Linked DNA regions of Arabidopsis thaliana. The protein of the gene in region 1 interacts with the protein of each later gene in a pairwise test. Each region holds a gene or a part of one and is shown on either strand. Other genes may lie near its edges.

Region 1 (5,144 bases):
CTAGCTTGTTTGTTATACCGGAGGAACTGTTTGCTATTTCCCATTAGCTTAGTTTTTTTGCCAGAGGACTGTTTGGAACATCTTTATACAGTGGTCAAAGTCATGGCCTGAGATGAATTCATCTCTGTTTTATGACAATCTGCATGTGTTCTTATATGTCAAAACTCAATGATGAATATAAACGTAACTAAACTTACTAAAGTTTGAATTGTTTCCTGTCAAAAACTAACTGTTGGACACTGGCAATCGAATATTTGAGGCGATGTTTACTTTTATGATATGTTGTCTTTAGGTATGGGATCTTGGTGGGCAAGATAGGCTAAGAACTTCATGGGCAACATACTATCGTGGAACACATGCTGTGATTGTGGTTATAGATAGCACAGACAGAGCCAGAATCTCTTTCATGAAAGATGAGCTAGCCAGGTTACTTGGTCATGAGGATCTTCAAAACTCGGTCATACTAGTTTTTGCAAACAAACAGGATCTGAAAGACGCAATGACTCCTGCTGAGATCACGGATGCACTTAACCTTCACAGTATCAAGAACCATGATTGGCATATTCAAGCAAGTTGTGCGGTTACTGGAGAAGGATTGTATGATGGGCTCGGTTGGATTGCCCAAAAAGTTACCGGTAAAGCCACGAGTTAAGGGGAAACCAGAACTGAATCAGAGAGAGTACGTACTATTCTTCTTTGTTTCTTTTGTCTCCTTCATATGTTCTTTAACATTGTATCCTCTTGACTTTTATGTAACAAGCTTCAACTATTTTGGTTGCTCTCATTGAAACTGTGTCCAGAATTTTCATATATGGAAGAAAAAAATCTTGTTTTGTTTCAGATTTAAAACTACCACCAAACTCAAAATCCAAACGAACTAAAAACAAAAACAGAGCAACCATTAAAACAAGACAAGACACCATTGTAGCCTCTCTCAGAGCTCACCACAGTCTGCGATAACCACCGGCTTGGAAGGAATCCTGTTCAAAGTTCCAACCTCGTCTTCAATGCTCCTGAGCACGTCGAGTCCTTCAACAACTTGCCCGAACACGACATGTAAACCATCGAGAAACGAGAACTTTTCCAAGACAATCTGGAACTGAGATGCATTGGTGTGGGGATCACCGACGGCCACTGTGCTAGATTTTCTTGTGGTGGCGTGAATTTGGCACTGTGGTCTTCTTAAATTAAGAGACACATCAAGATCAATAGATTTTTTACTGCACAAATGAATCAATTTTTTTTTTTGCCAATTACATCAAATTCACTGCCGCGGGAACGTAAAAACACAAACTCACTCTTCTGGAAGAAGTAGAGACAAAAATATTTTGAGAGAAGGAAAGGAAGATCAAAGAATGGAGCAGCCACATCGTTTTGCTTCTTTAGGGCCTTCGAACCATTGATCCCATGTCGCATTCACCGGACCTGTTGTTCTGCAAGTAGTCACAAAAGCAAACATATCAGACCTAATCATCTCACAGTCTATTGAAATGAAACTATCAGAAAACAGAAGAAGAATTACTCGGGAAGAAGAGGATCGGGTTTGCTGTCAACACTGTCTAAGAACCTGCATCCATTCGAGAAACTAGTCAAGCTTGTGGAATGATTATTCGTGAACCGGATATCAGTTATGTAACAAGTTCTTACTCTTTGCAGGATGCTGATGCATTGTCCATCTTCTCAAGCTGCTCCAGCTCTTCCTGAATATAATAAATGAAGGAAGAAAGTTAAAACCTTGTAACGCTTTTAAGCAAGCATTTGAGTTCACAAATGTCATAACAGCTACGTAGACAAGAGCTTAAACCTCAAGGGATCAAGAGTCAAGATATTATTACACCTGAATGAAATATGCTCAAGAGCTTAAACTACATTTCAGTTTCACTCCTCACCATTCTTGAACCTTCCTAATTACTGACCCTGGTGATTTGTTTTATCAACAGAAGCATATTGTTCGCAAAGGATCTACTCTCTCACTCAAGTAACATTTAGCATCACAAAAATCTCTTTAAAAGGAGACAGTTCTACACTACATTTCTTAAAGTCAGATCGATTCCATTAATCTAAGATCCAATCTTGTTAAGCATATAAAAAGGAACTATATCAAGAGACAAGTACTATTAACTCACTAAAAGCAACCCCACAATACCAACTGCTACAACAAAACCTGTTTTTTTTTTTTCACTCATTGAATACCAACAACAACAAAAACCCCTAAATCAAATTGATTCCCAAAACTAAAAAAGTTTCAAACTTTGAAAGTCTCTACCGTACTCCACTCAGATTTATACTATTCCATCCAAAAAGAGCCGAAGCACAAAAACAACAGATTGATCCAATCTGTAATTATATGATATAATCAGCCAAAAGGCCCAAGCACGTCGAAACAAGAAAGGGTTTAAGATTAAGAGGAGAGTAAAATACCTCTAAGAATCGAGCTTCTTGTTCAAGCCTTTTGAGTTCAGCTTGAATCCTGTGTTTGCCTCTTGTATCAACGACCCGCCCGGATAGCTGACCCGACGAATTGGAGCTACCCGCTTCCATCAAAATTTCTCGAATTCAACCCTCAAAATAAAAATCGAAACTTTAACAAAAACAGATAAGAACCACAATTTTACTCAGACTAAAAGATCGCCATTTGAATATGGGAAACTCATAAACCTTCACAAAACCCCATTTGTTACTGGTTGGATACAAAAATTACAAGGATTCAGAATCAAACAGATCTTGAGAACTCCAACAAACAAAGAGAATAGAAGCAAATTTTATGAGGGGGCAAATAGAAAATTCAAAGTTATGAGTTGGGGAGACTTGAAAAAGAGCTTTTCCGATGATCGAAAGGCGAGAGAAAAAAATATATATAAAAGTTGCGATTTTGAAAAAGACGAAAGTCGACGGAAATAAGAAAAACAAAACATTATTTCAGTCTTGATGGCCATAAACATAAAACTTTCTTCTTGAAACCTCAATAACTCATGTTTATTTTTTTAAAAAGTTAACCAATCATAAAATAGACCATATAATATATATATATAATTATAAAAATAAAAAAATCTATAATTTGCATAAAATTTTGAAAACATTCGAAACAAAAATTTCTCCAAAACACTTATATTGTGAAACTAAGGGAATGTTATTTTCATACTAATCATCTTGCACATTTTTCTTTCTTTATATATTCCCCATAATATTTTATTTCTCGTCATGATCGATCATTCCATGGATCCACATTAATTATCTTTAATCCAATATGTTTTATTATTTCTAGTTTTAACTTCAAAGCTTTTTTTTTTTTTTCTCAGCACATATAAGAATTGATTTTTATTTCCTAATTAATGATGATCCCCATTAGGCCATTATGCACCAAGATCTTCTAAAGAGATACATATCGGACAGAAGAATAGTCAGAAGTACAAATGGTCTGGTTTAAAATATTTGCTACTCAGAAGGTGAGGCAGATTTGACTGAAGAAGATGTTTATGAAGATAACGACCTAAGAAGAAGAGGATGTGGAAGACTTCCAAGATGTCAAAGAGTAAGAAGTTGAATATATATCCCAAAATGGTGGATGGTAATCTTTTAGTTTGAGCATGAACAACTTGCTCTTGTCTTTGATGTTTCCAAGGACTGATAATGCACCTGACCCTCTCACTAAAAAGACTCTGCTACTGAAATTCTGCTAGATAGATATATCGACAATGCCATCTAGTCGAGTCGCTGGTTCGGTTTTAAAAACTTTGTAGAGACTAGGCCAGATAACAGAAGCTATCTCTAAATTATATTATCGAAAACCTGAGGTTCCACCATCTTTAAATTTTAAAAATCTGATTAATATCATGTCCTTTAGCATGAAGCCATGTAATATATATATTTTTTTTTTTGATAAGAATGTAAATATCATATAAAATGAAAGTTTAGGAGTTACAAGAAGCAAAACCTACAAACATGGTCCCATGCCAAAAAAAGGAAAAAAACATGGAAGCATAATCCTTTCGAGATTCATCGCATCAACTAAACCTTAAGCGATGAGGCTCTTAGTAAGAAGATGAAGAAAACTCGATCTAAAGACTCCCCTAAGCAAGAAAGTGGCAACAAAAAAGAGCGGTCTAAACTATTGATCGACAAAAAAGCGCACAGGAAGTCCTTTCAACAATGGCCCGAAACAAACTGAGACGGAGCTATACGGGCAAAAATCGGCTGGCAATGCTTTCTCACTCTACCAAGCTCCTGATGAAGCCATGTAATATTTAGTAAAGTATCAGTCTAAAACATAGCAGTAATAAATCGAAGTACGAGCCAAGAAACATAAATCTTACTGTTGATGACATTCAAGTGACATACTTAATGTCCAAGAACTTTGGGTTTTAAGTGCGCGAAGTTTCGATATGTTTCGAACATATTGACGCTTTTCTAACTTGCTTTGCTGTTTCCTTTGGAATCCTGCAGGTTTCTTGATTTGCACTAAACTCGGAACATAAGAGCACACAAGTGGGCAACGTCTTTTATTAACCGGTTCTCCGAGATCAACTTGTCCACCATATCCAGCCTCTCCCATGATGTGAACTGTGTCGCCGCGATCCAAAGTTTTATCAAAAATCATAGCAACTTTCTTCTCCTCGTCGATGAAAAAACTACCATATGTCAGTGAACTCGGAATCTCATCACCCAAATCAACATTCACTGTCAAGAACTTGCTCCACAATACCTCATTGGCCTCAATCTTAATCGTAATCCAAACCTCAACAACATCCTCGTGACAAACTAAAGCCGCAAGCTTCTCCTCTCTAACACAAGCTAGAGTAACAACACCATCCAAATCACTAAACGGCAAAAGCAGAAGCGGACCAAACCTCTCACTTGTGAAATCAAAACAGATTATATGATCAGCATTGAGAAAAAGGTCAGAGTTCCTTTTTTTAGCACACCAGTAAGTGTTTCCCTTGAGAGTAACACCACGGTTACCACAATTTATCAACCAATGTGGAGTAGTAACATCAAGAGTCGTCCATAAATCAGACTCAAAATCATAGATTTCATACCACAAAACAACGTTGTCTCGAGGGTAATGGAATTCATAATCTATAAACCTCAAGATCTTGTGGTTGCGTCTCTTGTTGTCGTATCCAATAGCGTACCTGTACATGTCA
Region 2 (6,786 bases), on another chromosome or scaffold:
GTTTCTATTCATCAACAGAAAAAGAAAACAAAATCTGAGCAAAACTACTTTATACTTTGATGAAATTTAGTTCCAGTAACCAAACATATCCAGTGTTAAGTCCATAAATTAAGCTGATTCATACAGAAAGTTTAAATCTTTAGTCAGAAAAAGGAAACCAAAGGGTAGGAATAAGAGCAAAACCCTAGAAACAGAAAAAGCAAAATCTATAGAGGAAGCTAAATGCAGATAAACACAGTGTTTGTTTCATAAAAACCATCAGACATAGTTCAAAGAAACCACTAGGCTAAGAGAATCTACCCAGTTCAAGAATCGTTTGCTCATGAACAGATAAACCTGAAAGAAGAAACCTCGAGAGAAAATCTTACCATGAACTCTGAGCTGAAATGGGAGACGAAAACAGTGAAGAAACGTGGAGGGAGCTGGAAATCATTGCTAGCCATTGAAGAGGCCATCTTGGATCTGTGTGTGAAGAGAGTGAGTGAGAGAGAACGAGTGAAAGAGAAAGAGAAAGAGAAAGAGAGAGAGAAGAGTAAAGAGAAAAAGTAAAGCTAAAATGTTGTATGAAGAGAGAGTACCTTACCTTGACGCTTGAGTCAAATCAACGTTTAAGTTTTTGCAGAGAAAGGAGGTACAATCCTCAGACCCTCGTATTCTGCGTGGCCATTTCAAATTATTTTCTTTTAAACGGTTTGATCTCCCAAACTGAACCGATAATTTATTGCTACTCCGGTCCAGTTCAACCTCAATAACCGTATAAGTAAATGTCTGTTAAACCGGGAAAATTCACTTTATTATTTCTCTATTTTTTTTCCCCTGAAAAATCAATCACATGAATGTATCTTCACACTACTACATATACAACAAACATACACACAGAGAGAGAAACAAACTTATGTAATTTCCACAAAGAAAGAAAGAATTTTAGGAAAAAATATCAAGAGGACGAGCTGGCCTCTATGCTAGTAGTAGACATCTCTTGGAACATGGAAGTTTCTTCAACATGCCACTTGAGAATCTCTCTCGCATACCTCAGTGCATTGTCCACAGTATCACTCTCCAAGCTCACTTGACAAACAAACAATTTTGGCTTAAAGCTCCTTCCACGCATATTTACGGGTTCCAAGATTGAGTCATAGAGTCTCTTGAACTTATATCCAATGTAATGGAAAGCACGCTGAGCCATTGGAGGGTTGTGTCTGCTCGTCTGGTTCTGGCTGATCAATGGGTTGAAGTCTTCAAACCACTCACAGGTTCTTAGAGGAACCTCTTCGATCTTTTCTTCTAGGAGATCAAATTTGGTTAGAACCAAAAGAAACCTTTTGTTAGCTAGGCTCGGGTGAGTCACCATGTTCTCGAAAAGCTGTTTGGTTGCAAGCATCTTGTTCACAATATTCCCCTCACCGTCTTCTATGTTTTCTGCATAGTCTGTTAGTGAGACACAAAATATCACCAAGTCAGCGTCTTCAAACATTTCCAGCAATTTCCAGTTTTCACCAAGGCTTCTCGGATTTAGCCGGATGAGTTGGTACCTAAAGAGAGAGAGAGAGAGAGAGAGAGAGAGAGAGAGAGAGAGAGGGTAAGTTCAACGGTTTTTCATATAGCCGGAATGCAACACAAGGAAAAAGAACAGAACTAACTTCATGTCTGTATCATGTTGATAATCGCTCTCAAGAGACTCTTCTTGAGAAGTTGATGGGAATGAGAAGTCCACACAAGAAAGTCCTTCCATAGAGGAGAGTCCTTCCGCTTGCAATATGTCCATATCAGAAGGATCGTATTCTGATCTCGAGATCTCAAGAATCTGAGAAGAAACAAATTTGGGTCAGTCATCTTTTTCCCCTTAAACAAAAGTGTTAAGGTCCTGAAAGAGCGTTTATATATGCAAGCAGGCAACTTGATGTAAACTTACTCTTTCAAGAAAATAAACGGCGTTCCTGGGAAGTGTATCGCGAAGTCTTTTGTAGGTGGCTTGAATAGCTGGTACTCTCCAGAGATCTGCAACGGTTTGAGCATTCTCACGGCTTGATGGTGGAAATATCTTCAGGTTTCCGTCTTCCTTTTCTTTCAAAACCCAATCTGAAAAATGTTTTAGTCTCGGGTTGATCGAGTTACCTGGTTTTGCACTGGTTTCATCTCCCACATTGCCTAAATCCCAAGAACTCGATCAGTCTTCCTCAATAATCAATTGTTAACTGATGTTTGTATTAGAATATGAATGCATTCTTATTCTAATAGTTTGTACAGTCAATAATAATTACCTGAAGACTGGTCATTGCTCATCTCTTTTTCAAATCTTTCATGTGCCTCAAGAACCATTGCCAGATAGGTATAGAGATTTGTTTGGATTATGAATTTGATTCTTTCACGGTCTTCTAAAGAGAATGAGACGTTGTAGAGAGACCTTGCCTGAAACAGAAGAAGTCAATTCCCGATTCTTTACTAGATGTGAAACATTCAAGTGGGAGGCATTAAGATGAATAGCTCACTTGTTTGTAAATTGTAGTGGCGCCACCTTTTTCGCTACCAATCAAAAGAAGCTTGTTAAGCATCTTCTGCTCATATAAGGGCACATCATATGGTTCTACTGCAGACGAAGCCGGAGGAACTGGCAGAGAGAACACAGCGCAAGCAATTTTTGCTCTCTTCTGTAAAAATAATATCCTTCGTTGTCTTTAGTTTTATATTTAATGTTGTGAACGAGAAAAGCTGGTGATCAGGAAACCATACCTTACTCCAGATGTTCCCGATGGGATGCTTTTGACCTTCTTCTCGGTAAGAACCATCTGAATCGACCCAAAAATGAGGTTTTCCTTCACATTGCACCCCCGCCCACTACATCAAAGCAAAGAAGCGCTCAGTTCAGAACAATGACACATACACTAAGCATATTTGTTATCCAAAACAAAGGTGAAAAGCAAAAGAACCTTGAGCATCGTGAGCTCTGGCTTGGTTATTTCCCGGCCATTAATATAAATTTCAGTGTCTCCATTGCTTACTTTCTCACTGATGTATCCTCCTATGCTGTTGTTAGGACTTATAATCTGACTAGGTTTCTCTCCTATCTGATTAAATAAACACATAGAGGCTCTGATTTAGCTGAGCACTCAAAATACAATCCCGATAATAGATACGCAGACATATATAAGAAACTGTACCTTTCCCCAGTAGCCAGCAACCTTATCATACCAATAGTGTCCGGGTTTTAGCTTCTTGGGTGGATTTGGACATGTCTGCAACGTGTAAAGCTCATCTTCACTTAAAGGCTTGTCATTGACAATGATAAGTCGTGAAGGCAATTGATTCGCCTTGCAGGTGATCTCGGCATTCATGACTTGTCGAAGTTCAGAATCCGTGAGATGGCGCTTGAGCATTCTTGAACACTTTCCGAGACTTGCTCTCTTGGACTCATCAATCCTATAACCAATGCAAGCTTGACACTTTCTTCCTTCGGGCATCGCACCCATGGCTCTGCGCACACAGTTGAAACAGTATTTGGCATCGCAGACAATACAGACTTCCTTCTCAGTAAACCGGTTCCCCAACTGGCACCGGTAACACGATCCTCTTTTACCTTTCCTTTCAGCTCTATGCGTTGCAGCTATACTTTCTCCATCAGAAACATAGGAGCTCTCATCACATTCACTACTCTGAAAAGGTTCAACGAATCTCACTGCTCTAGGTCCCACATCCGAAACTCTGTCATCATCTAAGTGATCCTCCTCTCTCGCTGATGCAGACAATGGTGATGATGGTGATAACCGAAAATCAGCAGGACTTTTCACTTCTTCTGGTACATCCAACCTCTTTGATGATGATGATGATGATGAGCCAGAAACAACATCACGCCCTATCAAAACCACACTAGAACCAGCTGCAGAGTCAACGAAACCGTTCTTCTTCTCTATTCCAGAATCAGGTGGTCTCTTGGTATCCTTAGTCATAACGAGAGGTGCCACTGGGTAAGAGATACCACTCCGCAAGGAAGAAAAGGAAACGGGAAGAGCCGTAGGAATCTGATCAACTTCAACGGGAAGAGCTCGTGGCACATTAGCAATAAGAGGACCTTTATACTCACTGGCGAATGAATATTCGATTCGATAGCCACTACTTGTTTCATCATCATCGTCACTTTCTCGATTATCCCTTTTAGGATTCGGTGATGGGAAAGGTAATAACTTTCTTATAACTGCAGCCATCTTCTTACCCAATCAAGCACACATACAAACCCAAAAAAGCCCTAATTCCTAAAATTCCCTAATTTAGAAACTTAACAACTTATCCGAGAAAACGAGAATTCATGAAGTGATAATATACAGATCCTAAGCCATTAGTGGCTTAAATAATCAAATCACAAAGCGCGTGAAATAAGAACGCAACTACAGAAATATAGAAAAAATTGATCACAGAAAGCTCCTTTAGCTTAAAGAAAGAGACGAAATTTAGTTTTTTTTTCCAGGAAAGTGGCGATGGAAGGAAGAAAAATCAGCAAATAAATTTTCCGGGAAAAGGGAATTTGCAGAAGAAGTAAACAAAAAGAAGAAAGACAGAAAGATGGGTTGGATCGTATACACTAGTAAAAGACGAGGACTTGACAAAAAAAGGGGAAGACTTTCTCTTTGTTTTTTATTTTCTCTGCAATCAAAAGGAAAAATGAGTTATTTTCCGGGAAAATTCTTGCCGTCAACGCGGGTTAGGGGAGTTGAAAACGATGCGTTGCGAAAGGCGTTGATGGAGTCAAAGAGAGAGGGCAATTTCGTAAATATATCTTCGGTCCTGCAATAATGTTCGCATAACCCGAATTACACGGTTAATAGAAAACCGGAGGTGTTGACCCTATTTAAGTATTTATCAAAGAGAGGCGCAGAGACATATATGATGATCCCGGTTGTGGAAATGTTTTCGGTTAAGTGATTGAATAAGACTTTTTTTTTTTTGCTCATAAAGATAGATTAGGTTTAAATGGTAACAGTAAATTCACAAAGATTAGTAATTTCTAACAACTTTGGGTGGATATTTCCAGGTTGGAAAATCAATTAAAAAATATCAACATCCTATATTATAATAATATAGAAAGACTAATTCTAATGAAGAGGAAAACGACTCATCCAAAATTCCAAGTTATAAAGTTGCAACCACGACATAGACCACTAAAGAAAACAAATATATATGTTTGATTCGGTCTTTGTTCTTGTTATCTTACAAATTTATGGAAAATAAATAAATAATTCAATTTCGTTTCAAACATTTTTTTTAAAGAAAAAAATAACCAAAAAACTCATTACGTGAAAACCATTAACCCGACTTTGATTCTCACACCAGCTAGCGTGGCACAAACCTCTCCGTTGACTTAGTCATAAAAATGAAATCAATCCTCTGTCTCTTTCCCGGCGTGAATATGGCTCTCGTGACGACGTGACACTCTCGTAAATAATCACACTATGCTCCTCCACTCTTATTTTTCCACATTGCGTGAACTCCACGCGCCACTTCCTTCATGCGGAGACGAAGAGCTCTTCCGCTCTGAAGATGCTGCTGGCTCGTCCATCTCCTTCCACGTGGCCATTCTCTCCGACACGCGCCACACTTTCACCGACTTGTCCAAACTTCCGCTGTATATAATCCACTTCCGGTCTCCCTCGGCCACTGAGGCTTTTGCTCCCTGATGACAAGCCCGTTCCTCCTCCACGGCTAGGCACTTGACCGGCCCCATGTGTCCCGTCAAAACAGAGAGACACTGATGGGACTTGTCAGACGGGTCCCGCCTCCATACGCATATGTTCTTGTCGGCGGAACCACTCAACAGCAAGTTCCCCGCTATACCTAGACAAAGCACTGCGGATTTGTGGCCTTTGAGTATTCCGCCTGTGAATGACCGCTTTGAACGCTCCCAATAGTTCACTAGCCCGTCCGAAGAACCGCAATATACGATGGAAGATTGTGATTTTACGGCCAACGCCGTGACCGCATTTTCTTGCTTGAGCAAAACTTGAGCTAACGTATGTTTTGTTCCTTTGCCTTGCAACTCACGTTTCCACACTTTAACAGTACCATCTGCGGATCCCGTGAACACCAAGTCATCAAAACCGGACATTACAGAGTTTATCGCGTCATCGTGTGCATGTATCGATTCCAAACATTTTGAATCCGCGATTCTCCACACTTTGATTGTCGTGTCCCAAGAACTCGAGTACAACAATCCAAGCTCCACGTCCAAGCTAAGACTAGACACTGCGTCGTTATGCTTCGTCTTCACAGAGTTTCTGTTGCGGCGTACCTCCATGAAATGCTTAGGGTTGACGGAGCTCTTGACCATTGATTTAAATGTTGGCAATGTTCCAACCCGCTTATGTTTTCCTGGTTTTCTCTTCGAAACCTTCCAAATCCGGATCTTCCCGTCTTGATGGCCGGTAAAGATTCGGTCTCCGAATATCACAATGGCCTTGATTAGCCCACTACTGGATTTAAACCCAGCGTGTTCCTTCAAATTCTTCCAAACCCTAATGTTCTTCGAATCCGAGCCCGTGTAGAGAAGGTCACCAGAAGCGGCTAGCGAGTATATATGCCCTTCTTTTCTAACAATAGATCCAATGAGACCGTTGGTCTCGAGGACATTGTCTTCGTTGAAATCTGCACCCCAAGGAGGCGACACGCGGGCCCAAGGCGACATTACGCAAGGAGAACCTTCTCCGCTGGCCGGACCGCTGCTCATGGTCGAGGCCGAGACGCTGCTAAACCGCTGGTGAGTCACGTTGCTGTTGATAATGATGGGATCGTCGGGAGGGA

The links. Proteins that work in one complex are often made in the same cells at the same time.
Region 2: the proteins of AGG2 (region 1) and XLG2 come close enough for resonance energy transfer, tested with the Arabidopsis thaliana proteins (one study listed by BioGRID).

What each region holds. Positions count from the first base shown.
Region 1 is NC_003074.8:8,131,872-8,137,015, reverse strand, and holds AGG2 (G-protein gamma subunit 2), read right to left. Parts: upstream 2,940-5,144; 5' UTR 2,542-2,939; coding exon 2,422-2,541; intron 1,701-2,421; coding exon 1,648-1,700; intron 1,568-1,647; coding exon 1,523-1,567; intron 1,434-1,522; coding exon 1,349-1,433; 3' UTR 812-1,348; downstream 1-811. Other genes in the region: ARFC1 (ADP-ribosylation factor C1), read left to right, coding at 293-652; AT3G22940 (F-box associated ubiquitination effector family protein), read right to left, coding at 4,310-5,144. UniProt on the Arabidopsis thaliana protein: Guanine nucleotide-binding proteins (G proteins) are involved as a modulator or transducer in various transmembrane signaling systems.
Region 2 is NC_003075.7:16,438,992-16,445,777, reverse strand, and holds XLG2 (extra-large GTP-binding protein 2), read right to left. Parts: upstream 4,693-6,786; 5' UTR 4,200-4,692; coding exon 3,159-4,199; intron 3,066-3,158; coding exon 2,928-3,065; intron 2,836-2,927; coding exon 2,731-2,835; intron 2,649-2,730; coding exon 2,490-2,648; intron 2,410-2,489; coding exon 2,262-2,409; intron 2,149-2,261; coding exon 1,913-2,148; intron 1,805-1,912; coding exon 1,641-1,804; intron 1,533-1,640; coding exon 938-1,532; 3' UTR 772-937; downstream 1-771. Other genes in the region: AT4G34400 (AP2/B3-like transcriptional factor family protein), read right to left, coding at 369-455; AT4G34380 (Transducin/WD40 repeat-like superfamily protein), read right to left, coding at 5,456-6,786. UniProt on the Arabidopsis thaliana protein: Guanine nucleotide-binding proteins (G proteins) are involved as modulators or transducers in various transmembrane signaling systems. Binds GTP with specificity. Plays a role in the root morphogenesis by regulation of the cell proliferation.